Linked DNA regions of Drosophila melanogaster. The protein of the gene in region 2 interacts with the protein of the main gene of each other region in a pairwise test. Each region holds a gene or a part of one and is shown on either strand. Other genes may lie near its edges. The genes, in order: bol, CG13040, CG15422 and Bace.

The links.
Region 1: the proteins of CG13040 (region 2) and bol interact in a two-hybrid assay, tested with the Drosophila melanogaster proteins (one large-scale study listed by BioGRID).
Region 3: the proteins of CG13040 (region 2) and CG15422 interact in a two-hybrid assay, tested with the Drosophila melanogaster proteins (one large-scale study listed by BioGRID).
Region 4: the proteins of CG13040 (region 2) and Bace interact in a two-hybrid assay, tested with the Drosophila melanogaster proteins (one large-scale study listed by BioGRID).

What each region holds. Positions count from the first base shown.
Region 1 is NT_037436.4:9,124,893-9,133,612, forward strand, and holds the start of bol (boule), read right to left. Parts: upstream 5,464-8,720; 5' UTR 5,005-5,463; intron 422-5,004; exon of another isoform or gene 275-421; intron 1-274. UniProt on the Drosophila melanogaster protein: RNA-binding protein that plays a central role in spermatogenesis. Required for meiotic entry and germline differentiation, at the transition between G2 and M phases of meiosis I.
Region 2 is NT_037436.4:16,321,905-16,329,770, forward strand, and holds CG13040 (uncharacterized protein), read right to left. Parts: upstream 4,854-7,866; 5' UTR 4,778-4,853; coding exon of another isoform or gene 4,403-4,777; exon of another isoform or gene 4,331-4,402; 5' UTR 3,865-4,330; coding exon 3,853-3,864; intron 3,788-3,852; coding exon 3,242-3,787; 3' UTR 3,179-3,241; downstream 1-3,178. Other genes in the region: CG13059 (uncharacterized protein), read left to right, coding at 1,827-1,838, 1,904-2,359; CG13039 (uncharacterized protein), read right to left, coding at 4,403-4,777; CG13038 (uncharacterized protein), read right to left, coding at 5,413-5,685, 5,813-5,824; CG13058 (uncharacterized protein), read left to right, coding at 6,964-6,975, 7,064-7,498.
Region 3 is NT_033779.5:4,000,927-4,007,701, forward strand, and holds CG15422 (uncharacterized protein), read left to right. Parts: upstream 1-4,057; 5' UTR 4,058-4,129; coding exon 4,130-4,444; 3' UTR 4,445-4,744; downstream 4,745-6,775. Other genes in the region: CG34176 (uncharacterized protein), read left to right, coding at 3,205-3,456; CG15423 (uncharacterized protein), read left to right, coding at 5,187-5,510.
Region 4 is NT_033779.5:8,492,902-8,500,710, forward strand, and holds Bace (beta-site APP-cleaving enzyme), read right to left. Parts: upstream 3,407-7,809; 5' UTR 3,368-3,406; coding exon 2,249-3,367; 3' UTR 1,992-2,248; downstream 1-1,991. Other genes in the region: Dh31 (diuretic hormone 31), read right to left, coding at 66-191, 843-934.

The DNA.
Region 1 (8,720 bases), 7.2 Mb from region 2:
TTACTTTTCCCTCTTGTTTTGTTTTTATATTTTTTTATGGTTTTTTTGGCGAAAAAAACGCAGTTTAAAAATACATGGCAGCAGTTTAAAAAGCGCTTGAGAGCGAGACAGGGAGAGAGTTGGGGCAGACAGAGAGGACAGGCGATGTGGTAACTGTTTGTTGTCGTTATTGTTGTTAATTGTTGTTGCAGCGGCAGAAAACGCATGAAAAACTGGCACACGCACACACACACATGCACACAGCGTTATAAAATGTAGAACTCTTTTTTTTTACTTTACGTGCGACGCGAGAGTTGTGTATTTTGGCCGAAAATAAGCGGAGAGCGGCGGCAACGGCGGATTTCTGTTATTTTTTATAATTCCGAAAACCCGAAATCGAGAAGTGTTGCAATCTCAACGACGGTAGAACAACGACTCAGCGTCGAACGAATATAGTTTCCCGATTTGGGGGCCCCCAACTGCGCAGTCGACGTCGACAGCGGCAGCGACTGCGGCAGCACAGTTCGCTCCACTCTCTCTGGCGCTCTTTGTTGCCGCGCGCTTGCTCTCTTTGAGCGAAATCCAAGGGATGCAACGATGCACGTGCGTTGTTTTAAGTTTGTGTAGTTGTGTGTGTGTGTGTGTGAAAAGATTACAATAAACACATTTTAGCAATATTACATATTTGGCCTATTTATTAAACACACCACCCACCGCCCACAACCGCCCACCGCCAATAACAACCCACTCTCTCTCTCAATCACATAATCTCCCGTTCCGATTAGAGTTGTTGTCGCCCTAGAAAGAGACGACGACTGCGACGCAGCTGTACAGTGATCTAATAACGGTTAAGGTTGCGATTATCTGATTGGCACTGTGCCTTTGCTTCGGCAAATGACAATTGGAAATGCCTGTGGCTATAATTCCAACTGGAAACAAAGTACATTTCTGTTGATTTCCAAGCATATCTCATATAAAAGAATATATATTAATTAGTAAAAAAAAAACTGATCTGGAAATTAAATCGAAATAAAATTCGTATCTTGTCCATGTTTACCTTAAATTAAATTAAATTACGCTTGTAATTAATCGTTAAAATCTTAAATAAAGTAATTTAATTCATAAAACTGCGTTTTGTTCGCATCTGCTTTGTGCTAATCTGACTGGTTTTGTTTAAAATCCAGGCCAATGAGGCGTGGTGAGCAACACCTATTTTTTGGGGGGCTTCTAGTTATAATACTAATTAACCGAATTCGTTGGGTTCTGGCCGACCAGCCAACTGGCCCTATTGTTATTCATATGGGCCGAAAGCAGTGTGCAGCGTCGGCAGCGACTGCGAAGTTGGCAGCGACGTCAACGGTTTTGGCTGGACGGGCAGCAAACACAGTTATGTTTCGAGCTTTTTGATTCTTTACTTATTGTGCAATGATCCGAGGCAACTTAATTGCTTTTCGTTTGGGTTTTCGGCTGCGACGAGAATAGCAGTCAGTCAGTTCAGTTTAGTTCAGTTTTGTTTTTCCACATATTTTCCACTTTTGAGCTCTCTTTGCGCTACGCTGCACTTCAAATGCTCAATTGTTGTCTATCAAAGGCGCACCCCCCACCACCACCACCACTGCCCCCCCACCCACACTATCAACCACTCCGTGAAACTTTGTCATTGTGGGAGGACGCATAAATAACGCCACTGATAAAAAATGGGCGAAGGGCGAGCGAATCTAAAGCTCGTAATTATGGCCAGCCAGTCCCGTCCGTCCGCTAGCTAGGTAATTTTTTTTCATTTCATTTTTATCAGCTCTCAGCGCTTCACTTACATAAGCTGGACAAAAAAAAAACAGCGGAAAACACGTTGGAAAATTGCGAGAAGCGTCTGTTTGTGAAGTTGGAAAATTTGAATTTCATCAACGGCAAAGCAGAGCGAAAGCAAAGACAGGCAGCGGACGAAACAATCATGATAATTAAATTGAGTTCACTGATGCGTATACTTAACATTAAATTCAAAGCCAGAAGCAATGCAAAAAAAAAAAAAAAACGCTGCTGCTCTGCCCCCACAAACGTGGAAAAATATATATTAAAATCAGCAACTGCTTTAAAAAAGTGTGTAGGAAAAAAGAACCTTCAACTGCCAGAGGTTTTGATTTCCTTCCTTTTTTGGTTGGAGCACCACCAGAGGATGTGCTTGTTGTTAGAAGCGGAACACAAAAAATTATATAGGTTAGCGCTATAGCCTTCGCATCCCTATCCCAATTTGGGACTTTGGGCTATATACTTGGGCATCCGTCCAGAGAGCGAGAAAAATGGCAAGAGAGAGCGAGAGAGAGAGAGACGCGTGAGCGGCGCAGAGAAGCGAGAAAATGTGTGCCGTGTTGGGAACATGCAAATGTGGGGCGACTGCCCACGCAACACCCACTTTTCCGCCCACTAACCCATCGCCAACAACAATGTTGCCAAGAATACGGAAATATTTTTGAGTGGATGCTCTCTGCGAAAAATATATGCACTACAAGAAACTTTGACAAATTATCATGCTTATGTATAATATTTAAAAGTGCCACGAAAACTAAAATTAGCATAGGTATTTTACACTATGAAAACAGTACAGTAATTTTGTTTTAAGTTTAAATCTTCAGAAAACTATAACTTATAGAATCTATACAATTTGTGTATCAGATTGTGTTTGTGTCTGGAGAAAATCAAATTAAATATCGCCTGCTTAATGTTATCAATTTAATGAGCCAAGTTGGGAATTCCCTCCTGGGGGTTGGTCAAATCGGCCATCAAAGTTGGCATGCCCCAAGCTGCGTGAGAAGGGCCGGCGGAAAATCAAAGCCACTTTTTGCGCTCTTAAGTGCAAAAATTAAACACAATCAACCCCCCAAGGCGAATCTCTTACGCTCGCCCCCCAAATTTCTCTCCGCTTTCTCTCTCTCTCTCTCTCTCTGTCGAATTTCTCGTCCGATATTTTCCCATATCATTGGCTCTCATCACTGCTCTTCGTGTGCATTATTTATTGCTCTTATACAGCCCGAATGTTTGACGATGACGAAGGTGCTCCACTGTCAGTGTCACCACCCCCGCCCACTCTCTGTAATTCAGATTCCCCCTAGCTCTCTCGCTCTCTCCCTCTCGTTCGTCACCTTTCCCTTTCGCTCCCTTGGCTGGAGCCCAGTTAACTAGTAAACCAGCAACCTATAATGGAGCCTCTTCCGTGTTGTTATCCCTATCCCACGACGTCGCGTATTCCCCACAGAGAGAAAAATCATCGGCCATTAGTCATGAATTCGCAACGGTTATGATGTAATGATGAATTATCTGGGGAGTTGTTTTTGGATACGTATTTGCAGTGCTCTCTACCCTTGTCTAGAATAAATTTCCACCTATAAGTAGTTTTTAGAGATAGACATCTCATGAACGAAAGCTGTTTCCTTATCCATTTGATCTCTACTCATACAAAGAGATTCTTGAGATGCAAACATATGCAGTATGATATGATATGAACTCTTTCACTGATTTTTCTCAGTGCACTATCCCAATTCTATCCCTTTTTCGCATCCCGGAAAATGAGCACCAGCTGTCTGCCATTTGCCTTCAATTTTCCCCATTCATGTTTGTTTTGCTTTTCGCCTGACTGTATAATAAATAACTTTGAAATAAATCAAATCGGATCCTGGGCCAATGGACACATGTTAAATGGACCGAGAAATCTAAGCGGGGCATCATCACATTTTTTTATTGGATCAAAATCAACAAGAGCAGCGTCGGCGACCTTAAAACGCATTAGCAGCCGCTGTCGGCCAAGTCGTAATAATTTTATTAGCAAACATCAGAAATATAAAAATGCCGCTGCTCGGAGGCAAAAGAAAAAGAAATAAAAGCGGCTACAATTTCGAAAGGTGTTGGCTTTTTCAGAAGTTCAAATTCAAACGGCGTGTGAGTCGGTGGGCGGGGGGAGGGGCTGTGACAAGTGCAGGCGTGCTCAAGGTAAAAGCGCCGCCGCCGCAGTCGCCGTCGACGCTGACAGCGCTGTCGACTGCAACTCGGCCGAAATCCGAGTGCAAGATCAAGTGAAGCGAGTGGCCGAAAAACTAGAGAGAGGCAAAACTACGAAAGTCGGAGAGCGAGCCATTTATCATTTTACATCACAAAAGATAAGCTGGCGAATAGGAGATACTCAGCATATACATATATGTACATTCACATACATATGTACATACATGTGTAAGTTAAAAAGTAACTATCTTTGTATAAAAGAATCTAGCAATTAATAATAAATAAAAAAGCAGTTCTGCCTCTAGGAAAATTATATTAGGGCCTAAAAATCTCATGTATTGACCTTATATTATTATAATATTATTTGTTATGCTGACAAAACCACATATGTTTTGTATGTACTAATTATCAATATTTCGTGATATGATTAAACGGTTTTATTGTGTAGAATCTATACTAATAAGCTGTTCTACAATATTCCCTCACATAAGTACAGGGTATTTAAGTTGGTCGCGCGGGTGACAGACATTCTGTCTTTTTCCCACCTTTCGCCGCCCTCTCTTTCGCACACGTGCAGCGGCACTACATGTTGTTGTTTTGTTTTTTAGGCATTCTGGAGGCGATGCTGTTTAGGCCGCTTTTAGTCAAGTGGCCGTGCAGCGACGCCAACTGCGGCAGCGCAGCTGCGACTAGATGAAAAAGAACAAATTGACTAAGCACGAAACACGTTTTAGCCAGAGTTTTTAGCCAGACTAGCAGCTCGAATCGGAATCGGAATTGGAATCGGTGGGAGCGGGACGGCGTGTGACATACTGACCCAATTCCGGGTTTCGATTTTCTGGTTTTTCTCAAGAATACACGTTTTCCGCTGCATAAACACACACATAAGCGTACGCGGGAGCGAAAGAGGCAGAGCGGCCAAACGAGTTGCATGGCCAAGAATTTTCGCCTGGCATTTTTCATTTTCCCTGCGAGTGACATTCATCCTCCCCCCACCCAAAAGCAATCCCCTGTTCTGTCATCAGGAAAACTCACCGTTAGCTGCGTCCTCCTTGGAGATTTTTCTGATTGCGTCCAAACTACGTCGTTTCCACAGGCTGCCTTACGTTACGTCTTACGTGAGAGGGGACACAGTTTACAGTTACAGCCTTTGCGTATCATTAATATTCCTTGTGATGAACGTTTATCCCAGATACGATGCGTTTGTATATATGTATCTTAATATCCAGTATTCAATATCAATATCAATAACGTCGGTGATGAACAAGAACCAGAAGACCAAAAACGATGGGATGATGGGATGATGGGATTTAGCTTGATATTCTCTTGGTTTCTTTTGTAATTTAATTATTTGCTCTTCTTTCTTTTCCGATATTTAGTGGTGTTTACTTGTATATATTATTGTTGTGTGTTCCGATTTAAAACAATTTTACTTGAATATATATATATATAGCACTAGACAACTTACTTCCTACGAATCACAATTAGAAATGAGTGTAAGGCGACGACCGAAAGGAAAACTCCCGTCAAAATGAAAAACTACGCGCCGTCTACTTGGGCGGCCGAGAAAAACCAAAACACTGTGGCGACACACCACATGTGTTTTTCTCTTCCAAAAAACCCAAAATTCCAAGGATGGTGGGGGCGATTGCAAAGGAAAATTGAAGCCAGGAAAACTCTCTTCAATATTTACCGTTCACCGTTTAGCGATATAGCACAACAATTTTAGTTCTACAACTGCTCTCGTGTAATGATGAACTCCAATTAAGAACACAAGTCCGTTTTAAGTTGAAGGCAGCCGTCGGGCTGACATATATTTATTCAATTTCTTCTTTTGATTTTAGAGTAGGCAGAAATGGTTCTGTCAGCTCAACGTCTACAGAGTCTCTCCGATTTTACAGTTTTTTATATATTTTGACTTAGGCTAATCCGCGTAGCTGCGCTGCCGGGTACGCCAGCAGCGGAGCGGCGTTCTTATGTATATCTTATATATCTAGGCTTATCGGGAGAGCGAGATATGTATGTACGTATGTAATATGTATTTGGTCGGCGTGTGAATGCTGACCATGCACTTATACTTTTTGCCTTCGAGTGGGCAATGCACTTATACTTTGTGGCCTTCGAGTGGGTGATCATGTTACATCCGCCCTGGCCTAACTGCGTGCATAAACATAAACATAGCAACAAAGTGCTGCCATAAGTTAATATGCTATTTTATTTAATTGTTCTTAATATTGCATAGGCACATACTACATCTCCCTCCTTTTGAAAAATAACGTAACCTAGTGAAGTTATTTTGATTATTAAATGCAAATTATTTTATTTTTATTTTTATTTTGTTTGTGTTTTTGTTTGAACAACAATAGTTGATTTTATAATGCAAAGATAAAAATATACGTAGTGTATGGAAAATTTGTATAAATGATTAAGGAAAATATAAGTTTAAATTCAATCATGAATGAAATTTCTTTAATCTATCTTTATGAACTATTTGTTTTTTGTTTTTATTAGTAAGTAGCGTAATATTGTTATTATCTCCTATGCTTTCTATCTTATAGGGCCCCGTATATTTAAAGTCTAATTTATGACCTACCTCATTTCTTAGTAAAACTTTATCTCCTACTTCTAATTCTATGTCTTTTATTTTTAAGTCATAATTTTCTTTATTTTTTTCTTTGTGTGCTTCAAGAAGTTTTCTTGCTCGAGCATATGCTACCTCTAACCTATATTTACTCTCCTTAGCGTAATCATCTATGTTATATATTGGTTCTATGCTATGTAGTTTATTAAAATGTTTTGGTAAATTACTTGTTCTACCGAAAACTAATTCATATGGACAATAATTATGTACCATAGATTGGGTCGTGTTGAAGCAGTATACGAAATATTGAAGCCATACGTCCCAATCGGTTTTGTCCGTCGATATGTAGGATCGTATATACTCGTTTAAAGTTCTATGACTTCTTTCTACTACTCCAACTGTCTGGTGGTGATGAGCTGTTGATGTTATATTTTTTATTTTCAAATATTTACACAGGTCAGTAATTATTGAATTCTTATACTCTGTTCCCATGTCCGTTATGAACGTCTTCATTGGACCGTACTTTAGAATAAAAGATTCAAATATAGCTTTTGCGACTGTTTTTGCGCTTTTATTTGCTATTGGTATGGCAACTAAGTACTTGGTTAAATCACATATGAGAGTGACTGCGTACTCGTTACCATTTTCTGACTTGGGTAGTGGACCAATTGTGTCCACAACAACTCTATCGAAAGCATGTTCTGGTGTTTCAGTTATCGTCATTGGAGTCTTTGTGTGCTTTGTTGTTTTTGCTTTTTGGCATTTTTGACATTTTCTTACGTACTCTTTTATGTATTTACTCATATTTTTCCAGTAATAATGTCTTTTGACCTTGGCCAAGGTTTTTGTAATGCCTGTATGCCCTCCTTGTATTGGATCATCATGTAATGTAGACAATATAGCTTCTTTTTCTTTTTCATTATTTATTTGGGTCACCGGGTTAAGTAGCGCTACTTTTAAATTCTTTAATATTTTATTGCCCATATTTTTAAATTTATCTATTGAAACGTGTTCAAAGATTTTTTTCCACGGTGCCATTTTGATTTGGCTGATATCATATATACCGGCCTGCAATTCAAGCCTTTGGAGAAATTGATCTAAATCAAGAATTCCATTAGTATAAAGATCACCAACATCATATCTTGCAATAATTTTCTTTCCATGTTTAAATAAACATATCGAGTCATTCAATTGCAATGTCACTACTTTTCGTACCTCGTCATTTGTTATGACTTCGTATACGTTGGGCTCTGAAGCTATTTCTTTGGTTTGCTTTTGCAAATCCAATTGTTCTTTTCCTGCGCAGGATTTTTGTCTACTTTGAAATCTTGTAGTGACTTTTAATATATTTCCAGTTATATCTTTTAGCTCTTTGATGGTTATTCTTGATAACGCATCTGCTACATGATTGTCCTTGCCCTTTAGATACTCTACTGTAAAATTATATTCCTCTAGTTCAAGCCTTATTCTAGTTAATTTAGAGCTGGGGTTCACCATCGAGAATAAATATGTCAATGGTCTATGGTCTGTTTTCACAGTGAAATGTTTTCCGTAAATGTATGGTCTGAAATGTATTATTGCCCAATGAATTGCTGCTAACTCTTGTTCTGTTGTACTCTTATTGCTTTCACCTTTCGTAAAAGCTCTGGATGCATAAGCAACTGGGAGTTGGTGGCCATTATGGTTTTGAGTTAAAACTGCGCCACACGCTTGCTTGCTTGCATCTGTTGTTATGCAAAATTCTTTGCTGAAGTCTGGGTACTGCAAGAGTGTTGGGTTAATTAGCTGAGATTTTAAATGTATGAATGCTTTTTGACATTCATCTGTCCACTCGAATGGAACATTCTTTTTACATAATCTTGTTATGTGCCGCGAATAGTCGGCGAAATTTTTGATAAAACGTCTGTAGTAATTGCAAAATGCTACAAAACGTCTAGCGCTGTCCGCATCATGTGGAACTGGGTAGTTCTGAATGACATCATATTTTTTGTCATCCGGCAAAATTCCTTTGTCTGTGCATTTGTGTCCCAAAAATGTGACTTCATGCATGAAAAATGAACATTTTTCAGGATGTAACTTTAGGTTGTATTCCCTGCATTTACCAAAAACTTCAGTGAGGTTTTTAAGCATATGTTTTTCGGAACAACCTATGACTATTAAGTCATCCATA
Region 2 (7,866 bases):
TCGCTCCATAAAATTACAGGGACCGCAAATTAATTTTCTTGGTATTCATTTTCCACATTACCAGATACCAGATGCCAGATGGCAGATAGTTATCTTAAGTACGTGTAACTGTCGCTCGATCCAAAGTCGAGCCCCGAAAACTGAAAACACAATGACACAGCCGGCGAAACCGCAGCGTCCAGCTCGAAATTGTGGGTTAAGTGCGCGTGGGGCTTGTCCGTCGGATAACCTTGACATAGGGACTGGGTCTGAATCCGAATCCGAATCCGAGTCTGAGTCTGAGTCTGGGAGGAATTGGGGGATTCGGCGGGGCTCTTTATCTGTCACTCGAGCGGCACTTAGCAGCCGCTGCAGTTGGAAGTCGGTAGCCGGGTCTTTATGGCCTGGCCATGAATCACTTGAGGAGCCGCTGCCATCAACTGGACGATGTCGATGTTGCAATCCGAATCCAAATGCGGCTCCAGCTTTAATTTGAATGCAGGCGTACGCTTATAATTTACTGCGCTTTTGTTTGCGACGCTTTCGATGAATGGCAATGTCTTGAGGGTTCTGATTTGGGTCAAGTTCAGGGTTCGAAGTAAAGTGAGCTGTTCCTTACTGAACTGAATTTAAAGGAATATTGTATTAGTTAAGAATGTACTGAACTTCTATAACGAATTAAAAGTGACTAATAAAGTTCCTCGTTGATTTGTAACGCACTCAAAAACTGATTTGTCATTTGATCTATCATCATTGGCTTTTCAAGGTCTATTTATAAGAGTAATAGAAATATCTTTATTTATAGACCAACTTATTTTGTTCTTATGCGGCAATATTTCTTGCTCAACAAGTTTCCATAAATTAGGTTTGCTCTTAAACCAAGTCCATCGAATATCCTCAAAATATTACAACATCTTGCCACAGATTCTATCCTTCATTCCTGGAATTAAATAACCAATTGATTTGCAAAGGGCACATTTATTCTTAGCCCATTCGCTGAGTTCGCGTAATCACGTCAAGGCCTTTGAATACGATTTGCTGACCAATCGGCAATTACACACCTTCGTTGCCAGACAATTGTCCTGGTCGCAAACCTTTGATTACCTCCAGCTGTCAATGTTACTGGTGTTATGTGAGCAACTCTTATTGGATACCTCATCGATGGTATTTACACATTTGCACACATTGGCTTACTCATTAATTATGTGGTTATGTGGTAAAAGGTCGCATAACGAGCACTGGGAGATGCAACCCATGCCCACAAAGACACATCCAGCAGTCAAGATGGAGATGTATCCCCAAGACGAGAATGCAACTCAATTACGCGCCGGATCAAGTGATTGTTAAAGGCCAACGAGGAGGAAGATGCAGTGTCGCCGATTGAAGTGCAAGGACACGGATGTAAGGATGTAAGGATAGCCCACGCACTCAATGGGATAGCCCACCATCTGCAGGCAGTCTCATTTGCGTAAGCGACCGCATCTAAGGCCAATTACTTGGCCCATTGTCGATTGATTGGCCTGGCTTGTTGTCCCGACTTCTCGACTTCCTCACAATCACCCACACACAGAGCCAAAGCTGCTGGAACCTAGGTCAGTTAACGAACTGCGTCTTTGATAAGCGCTTAGAAGCCAGAGCCAGCTGAAAACTGAAAACCCGAATAAGTGTTTTACTTAAAAACCCAAACCGGTTGGCGGCTCAAGTTCAGCCAAGTACTTAGCGACAAACAATTGGGCTTTGGACCAAACTAGGCAACTATAAAAACCCCGCGTTTGGCCTGTCATCATCAGCAGTTGCAATCGATTCAGCAATCACAGCATACCCCCCAAAAAAAAACCAATCCAAAGATGTTCAAATTCGTGAGTTGTCTAGGAGATGGAAGCTGAGTGCTGAGAGTCCTGTAACCCATTATCCTCCTCCACAGGTCGCCTTCTTCGCTTGCCTGGCTGTGGCCGCCGCTGCCCCCGGTCTGATTGCCGAGACCCACTCGATTGTCCAGCCGGCGATTCTTGCCAAGACTGCCTACGTGGACACCAGCGCCTCCTCGGCCATCACCCACCAGAGCAACGTGAACCTGGTGCGCAAGGTGCCAGTGGTCTACTCCGCCCCGGTTGTTCATGCTGCCCCAGTGGTACATGCCGCTCCTCTGGTCAAGACTGTGATCCCTGCCGCTCCCCTGGTCAAGACTGTGATCCCTGCCGCTCCCGTCCTTAAGACTGTGGTCTCCTCTGCTCCTCTGGTCCACACTGTCGTCCCAGCCGCTCCACTGGTCAAGACCGTCATCCCAGCTGCTCCGGTTATCAAGACCGTGATCCCAGCTGCCCCTCTGGTTCACACCGTCCACAGCGCCCCAGTTGTCTACTCCGCCTACCACAAGTGAATCGATTGAAAGCGAACTTATATGGTTATGATAAATTTGTTGAACGAGAAAATAAAAAAATCAATTGAAATTTAATTTAACTTCGATTTCTTTAGAAATGTACGAAATGTATGAATTTCTACATTTACCTAAAATATGTTTTCAAGCGATGACCTGGTCCTGGATCTTAATTAAAAAGTAAAGGTGTTACATTGCCTAGTAAGGGTATTGGCATATAAATGAAAATTGTTCAAAAAATAGTAAAATTTAAAAAAAATCAAAACAATTTTCAAAACTGTGTCAGCTTTTGAGATCTTGAGAACTCAAAGTTCATACGGACGGACAGATAAACGGACGGACAGATCATATCGGCTAGTGCTGCATATCAAGAATATATATACTTTATGTGATCGGAAACGCTTCCTTCTAAGCTGTTAAATACTTTTGATTCTAGTAATGAGTAAACAATGTATAATGTCAAATTTGAATTGATATGTTCAACATTGGTAAAAGTTAAAGAGCCATTTACTCATACATATGTATGAAAGCACGACCACAATTCATTTATTTTTTATTAAACGAAAAAAAGATCTACAATAATTGGTTTGCATAATTTATTTTTGGTGCTGCCTCTAGGCAGTTTTACTTTTGTGTTGTATTTTTATTTTTTTTAAGTTTTCGCACTCGGCTACCGGCTCGAGATTGCCAATGAATACTAATGAATACCCCACTAAAAGTCATTCAAATTGATTATTTAAATGCTAATTGGATTGGATCAAATCGATCAGCTATTCAAAATTTTGCCACAAAAAGAGCAATTCATAAAATTTCACAATTTCTACGATCAACAAATAAATTTATTCAAAGAAGCAATCATAACAATCCGTTCAAGCAAAAGGTTTCCTAATGATGGTAGACATGGGCCACTGGAGCAGCGGCGACGGCGACAGTCTTGACCACAGGAGCAACCACCGGGGTGATGATGGTCTTCTGGTGGTGCACCTGGGTGTGGCTCTGGTGGGAGACGGCATGGGGTAGAGCCTTCACCACGGGCACGGCGGCCACATGGTGGACAGCGGGTGCGACGTAGGTCTGGTGGTGCACCACGGGCACAGTCTTGATGACGGGAACCACTGGAGCCACGTGCTTGACCACGGGCACGATGGGAGCCACTTGCTTGACCACGGGCACGATGGGAGCCACATGCTTGACCACAGGAACCACTGGAGCCACAGTCTTAATCACGGGAACAGCTGGCACCACATGCTTCACCACGGGAGTGAGCACCGCCTGGTTGTGGTACTGGGTGAAGCTCTGGTGGGAGGTGGCCAGTGGGGCACTGTGCACCACGGCACCTACTTTGGCCACAACTGGGGCGACGGCCACGGGGTGCTCCTCAATGAATCCCGGTGCAGCGGCGACAATGGTGGCCAGGGCACAGATAGCAATCTGAATTTAAAAACAGCACGTTAGATCCTGAAACATATCCACAAATTCCATACTCCAATACTCACGAAGCGGAACATGTTGATTTGGTTTGAGGAGGTTTGAAGTCGACGAGTGACTGATGCTGATTTCAAACTATGTCTACGGCTTTATATGGCCAAAAGTTCGCCAGCTAGATTGTCCTTCAGCAAAAACGAACTAACGAGCAATTGGCAAAAACTTGTTTGCTTTACATTGAACTTGAACCCGGCGCTAAACTAAGCATCTGCGAACCCTCACTTGCAAATCAACCGACAATCAATTGTCGTTGGTCCGAAAAAGGTTTTCAAAGCCCGAACAATAATCCAAAAGATTGATACCACAAACATATTGTTAGTTCAGGTTCAGAGAGCCTAGACGAAGGTCTTTCGATTCGTGATAGCAAACAAAACAAGATGAAATGCAACTTAATTTTATACTATAAAATACCACAATTAAGGGCATCGCGCCTCCAGTCCGGATTCATTGGAGCTCAGATGCGGCAGCGGTAGGACAGGCAGGAGTATCCTGGTGATGAAAACGAAGAAATCGGATAAGGCTCTCAAGCACTGGGAATTTTGTGAATAATAGGCATTTGGATTACGCCAGGTGCTGGATCAGGTTCTCGTCATCCGACCCGGAACTGTAAGACTGAATTTCGAGACGGGGGATTCGGATGGTGGGCCCCACTCGATAGGTGGTGCTGGAAGATGAATTACCAATCACGTGGTTCTCTGTATCGTCATCCTGGGTGCTGCTCAAGGAGCTCATGTAGCGAGAGGTTGAGTTCACGAACTCGAAACCGACTCCCATTCTGGCCACGTTTTTGGCCATATACTGTTCGCGCCACGCCTGGTTGGATTCCTCATGGTATTCCAGAGTTGATTCATCGGACACATCCTCGTTGGATTGCATCTGATGCAGTATAATGGCGGGACTGGGCACCCAAATATCGCGACGACTGGTATTCGACATGATTATCGTTGCAGCTAACTAGTATTGTTCCCCTTATTTATCAGGCTTACTTAAAAAGTGGTTAAGCAAGGCCTGCCCGATGCTCCTTATATATTTGAATTGACCTAATTTGATTACAATTCATATCTATTTTCCATTAATAAGCAATTTGCTGTACACAAATTTGAAATCCACACATGACCAAATGCATCTGAAGGGGAAAGAAGGGGAAAAACGAGAAACCAGCAGCGCAAAACACTTGAAGTTCAAGTTCAAGAAAATTTCTATGTAGTTCTGAAAAGTATCTGCTTGTTGCAAAATCCAAGAAAAGTTCTATGATGCCGATAAGAAGCCGTGCTCGTAGAACATATACGTCAGTAAAACTGAATGCACGCATTTCATGAGATTTGCATTCCGTGAATATTGGGATAAGGTTGTTCATATTGCAAGCTTGTGCTTACTGACTTAATCTCAACAGGAATGAATACGCAGTCATTTCTATGATATGATGTATGATACACATTAAATTCTTAATTCGAAATAATAACGATTTAGTTTTAGTGAGAATGAACCACTTACACATAAAGTTTTTTTTTTGTTATACACGCTGCCTTTATTTACACATTTAACTAACTAAAACTATGCGATTCCATTGCCTAGCTACCCGGCACGTAGACCGGACTCAGATTGAGCTGCTCGTAGCCGGTGGCGCCTCCCTCCTGCGTTGCCTTCGTGTGAAAGGTTCGATTGAGATTGGTGGGCTCCACGTAGCCCAATGATCGGCCCATGGGCGCGATGACGAAGCGGGTTTGGGCCTGTGAGGAACCCTGGTAGGAGACCACTGAGGGCGCTGAATCGATGAGCAGACGAGGCGCCTCCGTCGCCGGTTTGGCCAAAACCAGAGCCATGTAAACTAAGGCCAGAAGCAACTAAAGGGATGTTAGAATTTAAATATTTGTCAGGTCATTATATTCCAAACCAGATGAGTAAAGGTCTATCCCAATTGGCAGCCCCTTAAAGCGACCCACTCTGTTTGGGGATACTCGTCCCACTCACCAGATGCCGCATGGTATCGATCCAAGCCCAATGGGTTGACTATGGAGAGGGTAAATCACTGAGAACACCACGGACCACGAACTGAGGTGGGCGGAACGGATCGAATGGAAGCGAGGACTGGAGGTTCCCCTTTCAAGTAACAAACACAAGGCGGAGCGAGTGGCAAAGTCAAACTGAAGTGCTGTGTGAATTGCTGTGCCATGAAATCACGGTGGAGCAGTTGCTGGCCCAAAACAGGGGCGGGCGTGGAGCATGCCAAGGGGGTAGATTGGATAGGTACCAGTGGTAGAGCCCCGCTCGCACAGCCGCTGGAGAACGGCGCGATCTGCGATCGAAGCGTTGGAAACACGCGCGCAGTCGCGGTTATCTTGCAATTGTGGGAGTGTCTCAACTTGGACGCAGCTTTACGTAAAGAAATAAACCGAAAAAAAACAAATATAAATAAATAAATGCCGAACGCCGCAAATATTGTAGTAATAGCACCGCAACAACAAAGCCTACAACATGCGACGCCGTCTGCGTCTGCGCAACTCGCTGAAGGTTGATCCACTCCGCTCCACTTCGCACCTCTGCCGCCCGCCCACCGCACCACCAACTTTTGTGGTTCGATATTTTGTTTGCTCTGGCAGCTGAAAAAAAACAACTAGAGAATACTCTCTATGCAGGTATTACTCTAAATCTAACAATCTAATAAGACTTTCCATCTTAAGCATCTTAAGCAAACAGGTATCCCCTTTTTCTTTTATAACTTTCAGTTGCACATAAAACCGACATGCCCACTTTATTTATAGTGTATTTCAGGCACTACCAATACTAATTTGGCGCTAGAGGTTTCTATATAGCTAAAGTTGCCGTCGTGGCTTCGCACAATCGCCGGCAATCCAGCAATCCGGCAATGTTGAGTCAGTCAGTCAGTTAGCCGATTAGCCGGAGGCGCGTAATGGAAGCTCTAAGTGCACGCAGCTCATGAGGGGCTGTCGTATTGGAGTAGCTTTTGATTAATTAATTAGCTGCACACAAAATGGCCCATAAATCTCTTAGCGGCAAGACAGGGCGACCCCTTTGGTCAAGGAGTCCTCTTGGCCAAGTCCGGCTATAAATGGCAGCGGCACATGTCTAACGGTAATTAGTTGCCCACTCAAGTGACCATCATGCACATCACGGTGAGTAATCTCCATAGTTTTGTCAGAGATCCCCAGCTACCAGCTCCCAGCTTCCACTGATTTTGATTCCCACATTTCGGACCAACAGGTTGTTTGCCTCGTATTCACCTGGGGCCTGAGCCACAGTCACGCAGCCACGACAATCCTGCATGGCAACGGACAGGTGGCCAGTGCCATTTCCCACCAGAGCTTCAGCAGATTATCCTCAGCAGAGCCACTAACCCTGCAGTCCCGAAAGCAAACACATCAGCTGCTCGTTCCCTCTGCCAGGATTGTTAATCATCACCAGGCGGCAGTGGAACGACAGCAGGTGGAGAGGTTCTTTCAGGCGGCAACGGCGGAGGCGGAGGAGGTGCCTGTCATCTCTGGACAGACACCCGCCCATCTCACCTACGCTGCCCATCCAGTGGTGCACCAGATGCTGCCAAGGATTAAGCCAGTGCGAAACATTAGCTACGCCTCCCTGATCCCAGGACCTCGCAGCCTGAACACTCATACGAATCGGAATTTGTCACCCGTTTGAGGTGCTATATATTATATTAAATTAAAGCTTTGGTTTAGGCTTTTATTCAATTCAACTACTAAAACATCAAGCAGTAACACTTAACACTCACATTCGACTCAAGTGCTTGTGAATAAAACTCGAATACTTTTTATCAAGGCTCAACTTAATTTGAGATCCAATGAGATTTGGAGATAAAGCAATAATCATAAGCCTCAAGATATTTTGCACTATTCAAATTTTTGCTAACCATGACAACTATTATTATTTGCATTCAAATATCCACACAAGTACAGACACCCAAGTTTCGCTTGTCAATATTTTCGTTTAGACAAATTCTCTTCATAATATAATAAGTATTTTAAATGTAGTTTAAATACTTTTAAACG
Region 3 (6,775 bases), on a different chromosome or scaffold from region 2:
TATTTTCACCTAATTGCACACTCGAGTGGACAGACGATGCTTTTTCCACTTGGTTGACTGGCCAAAAATGCGGGGCTGGGAAGTTCCACAAGTGGGGGCGTGGTCACTTACTGTTACGCAACAAAGTCACAAAAATATTTGCCAAGCATTTTACGTCCAACATTTTATCCGTCCGATTTTTTGGATGGCCCTTTCCCTCGGAAATGTTTACCCAATTTTTGGATGTGCCAGTAAATGGAAAAGTGAAAAATCGTTTATGAATTTCGTGGGCTTTTGTTTTGATTGCGACAATACGTGAGAAGCAATTATACGGCGGCACATGAAAGTGAGATCCGGAAATTGGCTTGAGTTTATGTACATGTATACGCATAAGAAGACCTTGGTTTTCCTGGAGTTCTGGGCGTGCAAACCGCAGGCATTAAAGGGACAACTTTGTGCTCCCTTCAACTTTTGCCTCATTTTTGTTTCTTTCGCTGGTTAATTTTTGCGCCTCGCGAAAAGAAACAAATTTTCATGCAAATGGAAATGGAAAATGCAAATTAACAAGTTCCTTAATGGCCTTGTGGGCGTAAGGGGGAGTGGCGGTTGCTGGTGTACACCTATGGCTGTAAAACTGTGAGCTGATTTCAATTAAAAGTTGAGAGGAACGCAAGCGTCAGTGCTTCTAAAACTATTGTGCATAAGAAACCGTTTTAATTTACAATATAGAGTTCAAAAATGTAAAAATATGTAAATTCTTTTTTTAATAATATTTTTAAAAATATTTAAATTATTGAATATGCTAAGCACATTGCCTAATTGTAAAAATATTCGACAACATTTTCGTAGTTACGCTGCAAGATTTCAAGAGTTTAGCAAAACTGTCAAGTCATCCCTCACCTCTGGCAGCATTTTGCCTTTCCGTCTTCAGTTTTACAACTCTATCAATCATCAACTTGCAGCGAGTGCCTGAAAACGGTAGCTCAATAAAATGTTCTTGAAAATGTTCGAAAAACATCTCAGCCCAACCCCGAAAACACTTTTCAGATACGAGTATTGCCATGACATGTCGACAAAAGCAATGATTCCTTTTGGGTAACCCATTTCTGCACCAACCGATTTTCCAACTTTCCCGATTTTCTTGCCAACTCTTGCTGCGTTACGCGATTTCCCAGCCACACTTGCATGTCATGACATGAGCAGGAAATGCGTTTTCTGACGCCGCTGCTAAAGAAGCCTCGTAAAGGTGGTATGCACTGAAGAAAAATGCATACAATCAATTTTTTCATAAATCCTTTATACACATTTCAACGTACATGTTGTTATTCTGTATAAAACCGATATTTTTTTTTTCAAAATTTTAAATCCCTTTAAAAATAATAATTACAATAATTTGGACTTTTGTGCGAAGCTGAATTTTGCAAATACTTTCATTTGATTTCTCTCAGTAAACGGGTTGCGAAATTTCGGATAGCTGCTTTTCCTGGTTTCTTGGTTAGGCTTACGGTTACGGTTTTTTGGCTATGCCGTGTGCCTGGTTCCGTTTCTTGTGCACCAAGCGGAGCGCCATAAATATTTAAATTGTGCGACGCCGCCGCCACCGCTTAAAACCACCAGAACCACCATCCCCCCAACCACATCCCCATCCATTTGCAACACCCCTTTTGCCACGCCCCCTTATGCGCCTGTCTTGCATGTTGCTTGCCGGCTTATTTTTTGACAGTTATCGATTCGAGGGCGCTGCCTCAGTTTCAGCTGCAGATTCAGATCCAGATTCAACTCCCGATTCCAAGCCCCAATTTTCTGATTTTGATTCTTCACTCGGGGACAGAGACATTTTATCTTGCCAGGACTCAATTCATTTCCTAAAATATGCACAAGGAGTTAAAAAATACATGTGGAAAAAGCGGAGGCTTCAAAGATGACGCACTTAATACACTTTTTCGAGTAAATTCGCTTGAGAAATTTTCTTTTTCTTCAGAGGTCTTGAAAATTTACATTATTTTTTATCCCCAAAGTGAATTGGCTACGTTTAAACTATCGTTTTTGCTATGGACAGTGATTTCATTACAGCCAGTTGGGATTTCCTTTTAATGGCTATAATAACTAAAGTGAGTGACTGTCATGCGGCCTGCCACGCCCCACCAACGCAGCGCGCCCACAAAAGCTCAGTCGATATGTTGCGCGTTATGCGGCACTCATTTCCTTCCTTCTTTTGCGTCAGTTGAAAACTTTGCCCGAAACTCGTTTGCCACTTTGTGCATGTTTAACTTTTTAGGGCAAGCACCCTTAACCCTTAAGCCGTAACCCTTAACCCCAGTTCCTTGATCGAAGTGACAATTCAAAGAGCGAATGAAATGCGAAATGCAGCACGAACCACTCAATTAAGTACAGCCAAAAAGGCTGCCGCTCTCCTGGTTGTCAAATCGAATATTCCGAATTTTATTTGATCAAGTGATTGAGATTCAGAGAGTCCCGAGAGACTTTTCTTGATTGACCGTCAGAAATTACCATGTTTTTCTATCCATACATTTAATATTTACCCACGTCGCCCCTCGAGGCAAAATCGTGTCTGCAAACTTTGCATAATAGACGTGCAAATGTTTGCCAAATATTTGCCGGCTAAGGAAAATGTGTAAAGAATTATTGGGAATTTTTCGGGGCTGAAAATTGGATAAATATTTGTGGCTTGACAACATTTTCTCAAGCTAAAGTTTGTTTTCACTAGAGTTAAGGAATTTAATCGCATTTAACCAAATACAAATATTTGCACGTTGGTTCATTTCCTTTCTTCGTGACAACGAAATACTTTATTTCTTTTTAAAACTTTAAACAAGTATTTACATGACTATATGTAAGTTAAGGAGAAATCCCCGGAAAAAACCAAACATGACTCATTAAAGAAACGAGGAAAATCTATTGATATGCAGGCTCAAATTTGAATTGAAAAGCTTATTCGAAAAAAGCTTTACCATTTGCCAATTTTCAGTTTATTTATCGATAACTTTGCTCTAGAAGCAATACTTTCGTCAATAGAAATAATTAAGAGTACCTACCTACCTATTCGCTATCAGCAAATGCTGATATTGAGCTTTTTTATGACGGCAAATATTTTGGCGTTTGTTTGGTTAGTCAGTCCCATGAGTTGGGCATTCGCTTAATTCAGTTACCAGCGATAAGTCGACACATTTGGACGGACTTTCTACAGAAGATTAGTGCACCACTATGCCACCACCACCCCACGATCATTGCGGCGGACCGCCTCATCGTCGTGGACCCGTGATTAAGGTACAGATTGCACCACCATGGCCACGCCGCCATCACCGCCCACCACCCCAAGTTGTGGTGGTGCAGCAGCAGGCTCCGCCACCGCCACCAGTCATGGTGGTGCAACAGGCGCCTCCGCCACCGTACTACCAAAATCCACCACCACCACCACCGCCCGGCAGCAGCCACTACCACAATCCACAGTATTGAGAAGGAACTTTGATCTGTAAAATCCTTCACAATGAATTTATACCACGTAGCCTTACTTAACAACTATATGTCCTCAATAAAGTATAACCTTATAAACTAAGTTTTAGTTTATAGTTTTTAGTTTTTTTGCATATTTGTCATGAGTAATGGTTGAGTTTCAATCGAGTTGATTCCATCACACACACTCCCTCTTTTTATTATCAAAATCTCTAATCCGTGTTTTTTTTTTTTAAGTCTTTATCGGAACACCTGGTTAATTTAGACGGCAATCACTTGTTGTTTTGTTAATGTCTAGCAAAACTTTAATTCATTTTCACCAATGCTCTGTCAATGCTTCTATGCTCCTATATCAGAAATAATAACGCGTTACCCATAGATAAGCCGGAATCAGTTAATATAGTAAACAAAATGCGAGTAAAATAGCGAAACCCGATCACCTGTAAATGCACAACTGTCCGGTCGCTGTTATCAGACCTTGTCGAATGACTAAGCCATCTTATCTTTGCCTCTAACCACTGGAATAATTCCCACAAACCCTGATTGATGGAGCTTCGCAGTTCCAGTTTGTTTCGAGCTAGACGTGTTGTGCCACGGACTTTCCAGTATTCAACGCGTTGCTGGGTGGTGAAGTTGGTTCGGTTGGCTGGTTGATTATTTGGCTAGTTAATCAACTATGCGGTACTATGAAGATCCATGTGGCTATCCTCCTCGCCATCACCATGGTCGTCCAAATATCGAAATTGATGTGGTTCCCGGTTGGGGTGGCGGCTACTATCCGCCGCCGCCTCCGCCTCGGCCCGCCGAGGTAGTCTACATGACCCCGGCGGCTACCTATGTGCCCGGCACACAGGTGATAATGCCGCAACCCTACGGCGGCGTCACGGTGGCCACCACCAATGGATACTATCCGCAGCAGCAGCAGCAGGCGTACGAGTATCAGTACCAGTATCAGCAGCCCTACAACAATCCACCGTATCCGCAGTGGTGAACGAGGTCGGAATGGAAACGAAGCCATCACCACTAACAAAAAAAAAATATACTATCGATGGAGTGAAGGAAGGGATAGATAACAAGAAATCAAAACAAATATCACTTTGTCCTAATCTTAAGTTGAAATGACAACGCAAATGGTGCAATGGTCTTGACATTACGCACCACAAAGTTAACAAGTTAATAACCAGAGGAAGGTACAAAAAAACAAAACTGGAATTTAACTTTAACCGTTTCAAAGAAAATATAATTGTGCTATATAACCTTAAAACGAAATAAATAAAATATCTTGCTCTTCAAAAAACCTACCCGTCTTTAATTCTAAAAATATTCTAAATACTGCATTATCGATTTTATTTATGTTTATGTAATTTAGTGTGAGTCATCAATCAGAAGCATGGAATTAAGTCCTTCCTCTTAAATATAAAATTGTGATTCATGGAAACCTTGAACTCTCCTCATGAAATTCAATTCGGAATTTCGTATTTATCAAATGGCACTTATCAATTTTATTTTTTTTTTATCGAAAAAAACACATTTATTCCACCTGACAAGATAACCAACTAAGCTACTGTGCAAAACGCACATAACAAAATTAGGAAAAAAAATTCCCCCTCATTAGCGATAAAAATTGACTTAAATAGTTAAGCAGGCGAAGAAGCAAGTTCAGTTCGAGAAAGCAGTCAAAGGCATTCACTTCACCCACTAAGGATACAATACTTGGATAGTTTCTGAAGAAAATGCCGTACTACGAGGAGGAACGTCGTCATCACCATCATCACCATCACGGTGGAAGGCCAATTGTAGAGGTGGACATTGTGCCGCCAAGGATTCCTCGACCAGTGATTGAGATCGGAGTGGGCGGCCGGTATCCACCACCACCGCCCAGGGTGGAGGTCATCACACCAGCTGCCGTCTACCAGCCGCCACCACCACGACCCATTATCGAGGTGGATGTGGTGCCACCAAGAGCTCCCTTCATCGAGTTCAACATCGGCGGTCGGCGTCCACCTCCCAGGGAAGAGGTCATCATCGTTCAGCAGCCCCCACCGCCCAGGTGGTAGGCGTGGTCTCCATATGACCGTCGTTCAACAACGAAGTAAAAAACTTTAAAAATATTTATTAAACTTCATGTATTTCTGCAAATAGAAACTATAAACTAACTTTTTACAAAACCTAAGCTCTTGTATAATAAAAATAAAAAATAAATAAACAGTTCACTCCTTCATGTTTGAATTTCGTGTTTATACTACTATATACTATAGTATACTATATATTACGCACATATTTCTTCATGTAAGCTGACATTTTAATTTGCCTCAATCTTATTGCCAATGCAATTGTAAATCCGCTCGAAATATTTGCTTAAATAACTTAAATGCACTTTACCTTAATTGAAATATACTTGATTGGTTTTCAATGTCGGTTCTTGCTGTGACACATTTTCATATTGCGAATATATATGCCTGCATTTATTTGCAATGTTAATGGTACAAATATGAAAATTGAACTGCAGGCGAACGACATAAACAATGGTCATGGTCATGATTCCTTTTCCACTCTCTATTTTCCGTACGGGTAATTGCTTTCGTGGATTTTTTGTGGTTTTTGTATATATTATTTGGCTTCGGTTTTGCTATCTGACTGGTGGGAAATGATTGATGTCCTCTGGTCGTAGCCAGCTTATCAATTATTGTACAACTAGTGCTGTCAGTACATAAACATATTTTAAGCTTTATTATAACGAAAACTGGGCAATAGTTTTCTCAATTTAAATGGCGTAATAAATATAAAAGATCTTGCTGGACTCAAAGTAAAATTTGAATTATGATTTTATATGAAAAGTTATACCATTCTTGCCGTATTTAAATAAGAATTGCATATCCAACTATGGCTTAAAATGTATATGTATACAAATGAAAAATATTTTTCATGATAAGAGTTCGGGAATTGATATCTAAAAAAGAATTAATTACTCATGAAGAGAAGAGTCAAGATAATTATTTTTGGATTCTTAAACTATCGAGAATAGCAAGTAAAAATGTATCCTAAAAAACCACTTAAGAAGAGGTCTATGATGAGTCACTCTAGAATGAAAAGTTCAACATCCCTAGAACATATGAGTCACAGAAAATCGAGGGATTGAGAGATTGAATCACAACTGCTGCAGCAGAATTACGAGTTTGATCCATCACTGTTGTGATAAGCGAGTCCTCAATTTTTCTTATCGCATTCAAACTGGCTGTATAAAAAGGTTATAAGTTAAAGTTAAAAGCCAAATTGAAGTGCAGTCGAGCAGAGACAACTTAGAGCCAAGACAAGACAGAGC
Region 4 (7,809 bases), on a different chromosome or scaffold from region 2:
CTTTAGTTGCACATATGTATTAAACAATTTCTAATTAGACAGTTATATCTGTCTTCAATACTTACTTCTCCAGATCGTTTCGAGCCCGTATGATGGTGCGTCCAAAGCGAGTCATCAGTTCCATGAGTAGGTCGTCGGGCACCTCCTCCAGTTCGTTATAGCCAGCGCCACCGTATCCTCCATTGGATTGGCTATTTTAAAGTCAACGAAATGGAAAATTAGATGGGGAATTTGTTCGTATTTATACAATACAATGCGGCTGAACAGGATATCTAATTACGTTGGCCCCGTTGAATTTGACATTCGACTGGCTTAAAATCTTCATTTGCATGAAAACCCAATTATATGTTAAAGCCCAAATGTTTGGAGCATTTTCCATTCGAGCAATTGCTAATTAGTTGGCCAGGGTCAATGAATTTTTAATAGTTACTTTGATGGAAGGGAAATTGAGTTTGAAACCATACCACACATAAGGCATGTCCTTAGAATATGCTACATCTACATCAACGACTCAAGTGGTGTGGCCAAGTACTGCAATTTTTGACACACTTTTCTGTCAACGTTTACATTTTGTTAATTGAAAATTTTCCTTCGCCATGTGAGCGTTTTCTTTTATATATTTTATTTTTCAGCTGCCTAAGTATATTTCCATCTCCCACATGGGCAAGATTCATACTCAGTGGGATAATTGCTTGCCTCAAATATTTGTGTGGCACATTTTTCGGTTTTTGCAGCTTAAGTGCCGGAATTTAATTAGGCTATGTCCTTTTGTATGTGTTCAGCCAAATTGGAAAGGATATGTCTGCATGTGGTTGGGGTACAACTAGGTGATTGGGTACAACTACCTGGGCATCGGAGCTGCCTCGATGCTCGAGATGGCCAAGAGGCAGAAGAGGAGGAAGGCCAAGGCGAAGCAAGCGCATCGGTTTGTCATCTTTGTGCGGCTGTCTCCTGCAAGAATTTAAGAAATAATTTAATAAAAATCGAAGCTTGGAAAACTGCAATTTAAGCAAAGACATTCCAATGAAAACGACGATTAACGAGGTAAAAGGCTAGTGACGAACGCACCTTTAACACTGAAAATTGTGCCATTATCATATCATATAAAATGTAGTATTATTTTATTATCACTATTATTTAATAATGTCTATAACAGTTTTGTCTTCAACATATACAAAGTCATTTTACATATTTTTGAGGCCATAAACTTCGTGCGCTTTTCCAGTGCTTTCATAAACTATTTGAAAAGCCAAGCGGTTTAGTGTTCTAAGGTCAACATCAATTAGAAGTCGATGGCGAGGTGAGTTGAGTTTCCACCCACAACGGAAGTCGAGTGGCGTCCAGGTTTTTCCATTAAGTGATTCATTAACTGCTCAACGAAGCAGTCCCAATCTGGGCTACCCTTCCTGTTTTCTCCCCCCCTTCCTGCTTCACTCATTTGGGTTGGAAACTAGCTAGCAGGGCCAATATAACCTGTTGTCCACGAGTTGTCCCGAGTTTCACAAGACCTCCACTTTTTGCATTGCTCAACTGCACTTCCACTTCCTGTCATCGCACACGGATGCCCCTGCATCCTTCGGCCGCTACTCCTAAATGGGTGTTGTCACTGTTGTGTTTGCAGTTGCAAAACTATAGACCCGCACAATTCTCTGACATCACTGGCTATCCTTTGACACCCCGGCAGTATACCTGACATCTGTGGCATTCCCCCGGGCTACCAGAGTCCCCACTTGACACCCGGTGACACACATCATTGCCCGGCCAACAGGCTGGACAAATGAATTGGCTCCCGGAGCTGATGGCTTCTGTCATTGCCTTCATAACACCATCTCCTTTGGGTCCGGAGTCAACATTTATCCCACAGCCAGCTGGGAATTTGCGGACTACCGGATAACACATTTGGATAACCACTTCAGTCTCCTTAAGTGTCAATAAATAAATAAATGGAGTGGTATTTCTACGTAAACGATAGCTTAAATTATATATACTTTATACATTCTCGAACAATTTACAGAAAGTCCAATGTGTAATTCATTTATTATATGAAATGCAGATAAGCATAAATAGCCATGACTGTAAAACGCAATTGGAGTCGCTTACTCACAACCTATCCACTTACAAAGTTGTAAACAGATTAGATTGTTACACCTTCAGCCTTCGAAAGGTGACCCACTTGAGGTGACCCAGACATTTGGTAGAAAATTCTAAGAGCTCGTTTCTTTATTGATTCGTAATTGCGGATCGTTAATTAGGCGACTGGGGCGAAGCCAATGCGGTTGTTGCCCAAATCGAACTCGGTGTAGTACTGGCCAATGAAGACATCGCCCAGAATCCAGAAGTCGGTGCCCATGTACTCGAAGGCGGACATACAGTTGCCGTCCGACTGGATGATGTAGGCCGAGGGCTTCAGGACGAAGTTGGTGCCACCGATGTTGAAGGTGACATCGGGCAGGGAGCTGACGCTTGAGCAGTCCAGATAGCCATCCTCACCCACGTTCAGGATCTCGGAGAGGGTAATGTAAGCATTGTAGGGAGCCACGATCAGGGAGGTGCCGGTATCGGCAATAGCCTGGCAATCATCACACAGCGAGTAACCGTCAATGGAGGATCCAGCCATGGTGAACTGCCAGTAGCCCTGCTCCGAGATGGGAACGTAGGTCAGAGCGCCAGAGTACAGAGAGGCATCGGAGCCACCGAAGATGAGTTCACCACCCATAGTGGAGGTGCCATCGCGGGCCAGATAGAACGAGAAGACGGAGTTGTCGACCAGACCCTGGGACACCATGTTGTAGAACGGAGGAGCCACACCATCCACGGCCAGGGACTCATAGGCCATACCGAGAATGCCATCGAAGTTGGCATCGTTGAAGTTGGTGCCCGGCTCGTTGGTGGATTCAGCAAAGGTCTGGCTCTGGATGCTCAGGCCATTGACGTCGACGGTATCGGTGGACAGGTAGCCAGTTAGGCTGCCAGTGCCATACTGGATGGAGAAGGATTCGCCGTTGGCCACGTAGGTGGAGCTGGCGCTGGAGTCGTACTGGTTGTGGGTCAGGCAGGCATCGCTCTTGCAGGTGTTCGATGGCACCCACAGGTTCGAGGAGCCTGAGTCGAACAGAACCTTGAAGCTCTGAGCGGGAGTTCCGATGGAGATGGCTCCGTAGTAAGCCATATTCATCGAGTTGGACAGCTGTTCCTCATCCACGCTGCGAAGCGAGGGCAGCTGGTACTTGGTGCGCAGATAGGATTTCTCGGCCAAAACATTCTGACGCGTCTTCACAAAGTTCTGCTCCTTGAGGATCGGCACGCGATGGAGCTCGGCACTGGCCAGGGCTGCCAGGAGCACTACTACAGCGATGGTCTTGAACATTCTCTTGGTTTCTAGTCTACTCGAGTTCGACTAACTGACGATCGGTGTAGCGGGTCTAATTTATAGCACTTGCCATCAATCACAGCCCAAATTGTCCGGTGATAAGATTTGTTGACCACTCCAGTCTTAAGCAGTATGAGTTCTTAATGCTCGTCCGGCATTCGATATTTATAATCTGGCATATTATCATTTCAGGTGTGAGGTGATATTTCGATCTTTTCGATAGCGTTCTCAAGAAGTGAATCCTAAATTCCAATACGCAGCTGGACTTTGTTATGATTGGACATTTTGAGTGACTTTGATAGTGCTTACATTACGCGATAATAATAAGTGACTCTTCATGGTAATTTGTTTTAATATCATTGCATGATTAAGCTCACAGATAAGCCAATAAATTAGAGATAGCGATAAGTGTGTTAGGGTTTTAGGGTAAAACCATGCATTTGGGAAATTCACCAGGCATATTGGGCAAAACCCCTGCTTAGCAAAAAGCCAAATCATTTAGTAACTAAGGATGATGATATAATTGCTCGAGCATTAACTCACATTACCAGAATGAATTTGTTTTCAATTGGTTAATTTAAGGAAACGTGGGAATTTGATCGTTTTCAGCCAAGAGGAAACGCATTCACCTCGGCTTAAATTCCCTTCCAATCAAGTGGTTACACTCGAGCACTTTCACCAGCTATTTGCTCGGTCATATAAAAATATAAATTTCGTTTTAGCAGATAAAAAAGCAAATGCAGGTCCGGCGGCAGTCATCTTCTTGCCATGGCTCCTACTACCATTAAGCTTAAGACCCTATTGAAATCAGATTTAAAATCAAATAAAATGCCACTTCAATTGGCCAAGAAGGACAAAGGAGATTCATGGTTTCGATTGCGTTTTATTGCCAGCGCAGGGACTGTTTGCACATGTGGGATGGTGGGATGTTGAGCAGTAATGTGAGGATTTCTGGGTGGTGATTCTGTGTGGTGGTCAGCCACAGGTTAATTGTGGTCCAGAGCATCCGCTCTTATCGCCGAGGGCTAGTAACACACGAACAGACAAGGGGCCAAAATGGAGGTGTCCACGGGCGAGTGCGTTGCGCACTTTCGACCCAAAATAAAGTAATCAACGGATTTTACGCACCGTCGGGCAATTTCGGTAACCATACTGGTAACTGGGCACACGGGGCGTATGATTACCGAGCGACGTGGGCCGCCTGCTTTTTGTTTCTCGCATTCCTGCGTTGACATTTCATGTGCAATTATTAGGCTGCTCAAATAGCGCCCATGCCCAGTCCCCTTCAACCGTTTATCAATCATTTTTTGATTTATGGCCCAACGCGAGTGGATTGAACTGGAGTTGATTGTAGTCGGCAAATACATAAATAAAGTATACGCCCGGGGTGGCTGACCAACTAACCGAACAACTCACCGAATTGTGTGCGCTTGTATGAATTTCGATTTATTTTTATTTGCTGTGCGTGGACATGGCTTAAAGGCTTAGACCGAGATGCAAATAATATTTAACCAAAAATAATCAGCAAACATTCACAATTGGTAAATATATTTCATACAGCACAGAGGCAGAGCCAGAAAACAAATAAATTGCTATTATGGATAGTATCCGGTTCGGTCAGTGAGCATTTGCCTCCGAGTAATCAATAGGTGGGCGATTCGTTCAGGCAGGAGCACCCACTACTCATCCTTCTTCTACTCCACATCGAATTCTTTCCGCCGATTGCATTTTCACAGCTTGCTCGATCTCCGATGCACCCACTCGTGGTTTATGAGCCTCGGAGTCAGTCAAGTGCCAGGCGATTAATCGAGCAAGATATTGATGTTTCAAATCAACACTAGCCAGCGAACTTTGGCCTATAAGCACATTAAATATAACCCGACTGCGATGACAGATAAATTAAACAAGTGAAAATAGTTCAGTTAATGTTTTCAGTTAAATGAATTGTCGGGGAAAAGAACATTTGCTAGGGCTCATAAATGGAATACTAATTCTGATTGCTTATTTTCTTCCTACAGTTGGAACTAAATAATGTTTTTTCATAGGAGCTTCATTCATAAGAGCTTTTTAAAGATTGCCTTTTACAAACGAACAACTCCGGACCGAAGATGTTATCGCCTAACAAGCTGTTCTAAGGAACTTCAAAGGGATGTCCAGCAATCAGGAGTTGACTACTTAATCTGACATTTGAAACCCGCCTCGAGTATGAAAACCCATCTCCCGCAGTGGCCGCCGCATTCAAATCCCATCGAGCGGAATAGGCCAAACAGTTTGGCCTGCTTGGTGGCTAACCCAAATCAAGTGTTGCCCAGTCAGCACTGGCATTTGTCTAACGAGATGAGATTCCTGGCTGGCAGCTCCACAACCATCCACCCCACACCCACCTGCTACGCAAAACTCTCACCTTGGCCAAGTGGCAGTCTGGATGGCGATGGCTATGGCGATGGTGGGAGCTGGTAGGTGGGCCTGCAGCCTGGACTAAAGTGTAACACGAGAGTCAGACATTGAAATTGCATTGCCTTGATTGTGGCCAAACAACACAAGACACACTCGCACCCTGTGAGCCCCCGGCTTTTGTGGGTCGCTCGGTGGCCCGCTGCGTTGGTAACTGGAAACGTACTTATGATTGCTGGGTGAGGCAATCGGAGGTGGTGCTCGTGGTGCGAACCTGGAATCTGGACACAAAACCAGGCAAATTGAATTTGGGTCATTCAATCGCAAGGCCAGGGCTAAGGATTGTAGCCCACTTCCTCCAGCATCGACAATTAAAAATGGAAGCACGTGCTTTAATCCCAATACCCAGTATTAATTGACTTTGATGGGTATATCGCTTGGAGAAGTTATCATTCCCCAATCAACGTCTTCTATTTGGATTGCTACCAAAAATAGTTCCACACATCTAAGAATAGATTTTTTCAGAATGATATTATACCTCTATCTTAAAATTTGTTTATTTTAGACTCGAAATAAAAATATTATTAAAATCAGCTAGTTTGTTTAACTTAAGCCCTTTACCTTTGCCATTATTTAATTAGCGTTGCATTAATTTTGTTTCCGTTGACGCCTAAAATTGAATAAATTGTAGGTAATTTAGCAAAGCCTGCTAACGGCAGGAAAAGCCATATAATTAGGGGAAATTATTGCCACGACAGGCACTTTTAGTTGCATTAAATTTTCATATACCAAATGAAAATTGCGTATACGCATGGAAGGGGGTTGGCACTGGATGGGGAAGGGGGTAGGGGAAGAGAGCGCCACACCCGCCGCGTTGTAATTGGATGCTTATTGAATTAGTGACAAAGTCGGCGGATTGGCCGGAGGATTCTGCGGTGTCCATGCCGCTGGGCTTCCAATGAAATCAAGGAGGAGGAGGTGGTAACCCCGCCGAGTTCCTGGCTGCCATTTTAGATATACATCAAATTATTCCGTTTGTCAAATTAAGCAAACAAGACCCGCACAGTCGGAGACAGAAGATTGATTTGGATTTGTGTTGGCAGACGTTTGATTTGCCCCGATCCGGCCAAACCGTGTCCTTCGTCCTTGCGGTTTGCGCATTGTGTGCGGAAGCGATGCCATCTTAACTGATTAGTTGGCAAAGCCACTACGCCTAAGTCGGCTGAATGTCCGCAAACAGGTGAGTTGCCTTTGGGGACACTACATTCCACCATGCCAGGTGCAAAAGTCTGGCTAATGGAAACTGCTAATGAGCTCGCACTTAACTATCCAAAGTCAACAGACAGCAGTGAGTTTTCCCAAACTTAAGTTTGATGTTCAAACCATATATTATTTACTTGGAATCTGGCGCAAATCTGGAAGATATCAACAAATCAGAAACGCGACAACCTCAAGTGTCGAATATATCTGTAGGCAATGATTTGTGACATCAATCAAGGCAATAATCTTTAACCGATTAGATTGGTTGTCGAGTCAGTTAAGCTGGTTAGGGCCACAATTATTGACACTTTATAGCACGCGACGTCAGCACTTAAATCTCAACAATAACACTTTAATTCAAGTTATATTTATAGGTATGGCTCGATGGATTTTTAGACCTAAAAAGTATTGTTTTATAACGATTAGAAAGGTGTTTCATTTTTAGTTAAAAGCTGTAACACGCTGTATTTTTTATACCATTTGGGTATGCTCTTTTTTACGACAAACCAACGACTTATCCTTCACACACGCTGGCCTAAAAGGTCACGTCATAAACCAAGCAGTAATTATAATTGTATAACCTATAATGGTTATGTAGCGTTAAAAGAACTGTGGAAAAACTTTTGCCCGCTCCTCGCGGGAGCTGAACTTTGGGGCGAAAGTTTTCTTGGTCCCCGTTGAAGGGACACGGAGCAGAGACAACCGAGCATTTCTCGGATGCCGAAAACAATGTAAAAATTGTTGACCCAACATGGAGCTGGAGCTGGGTGGGTGGTTATGTGGTA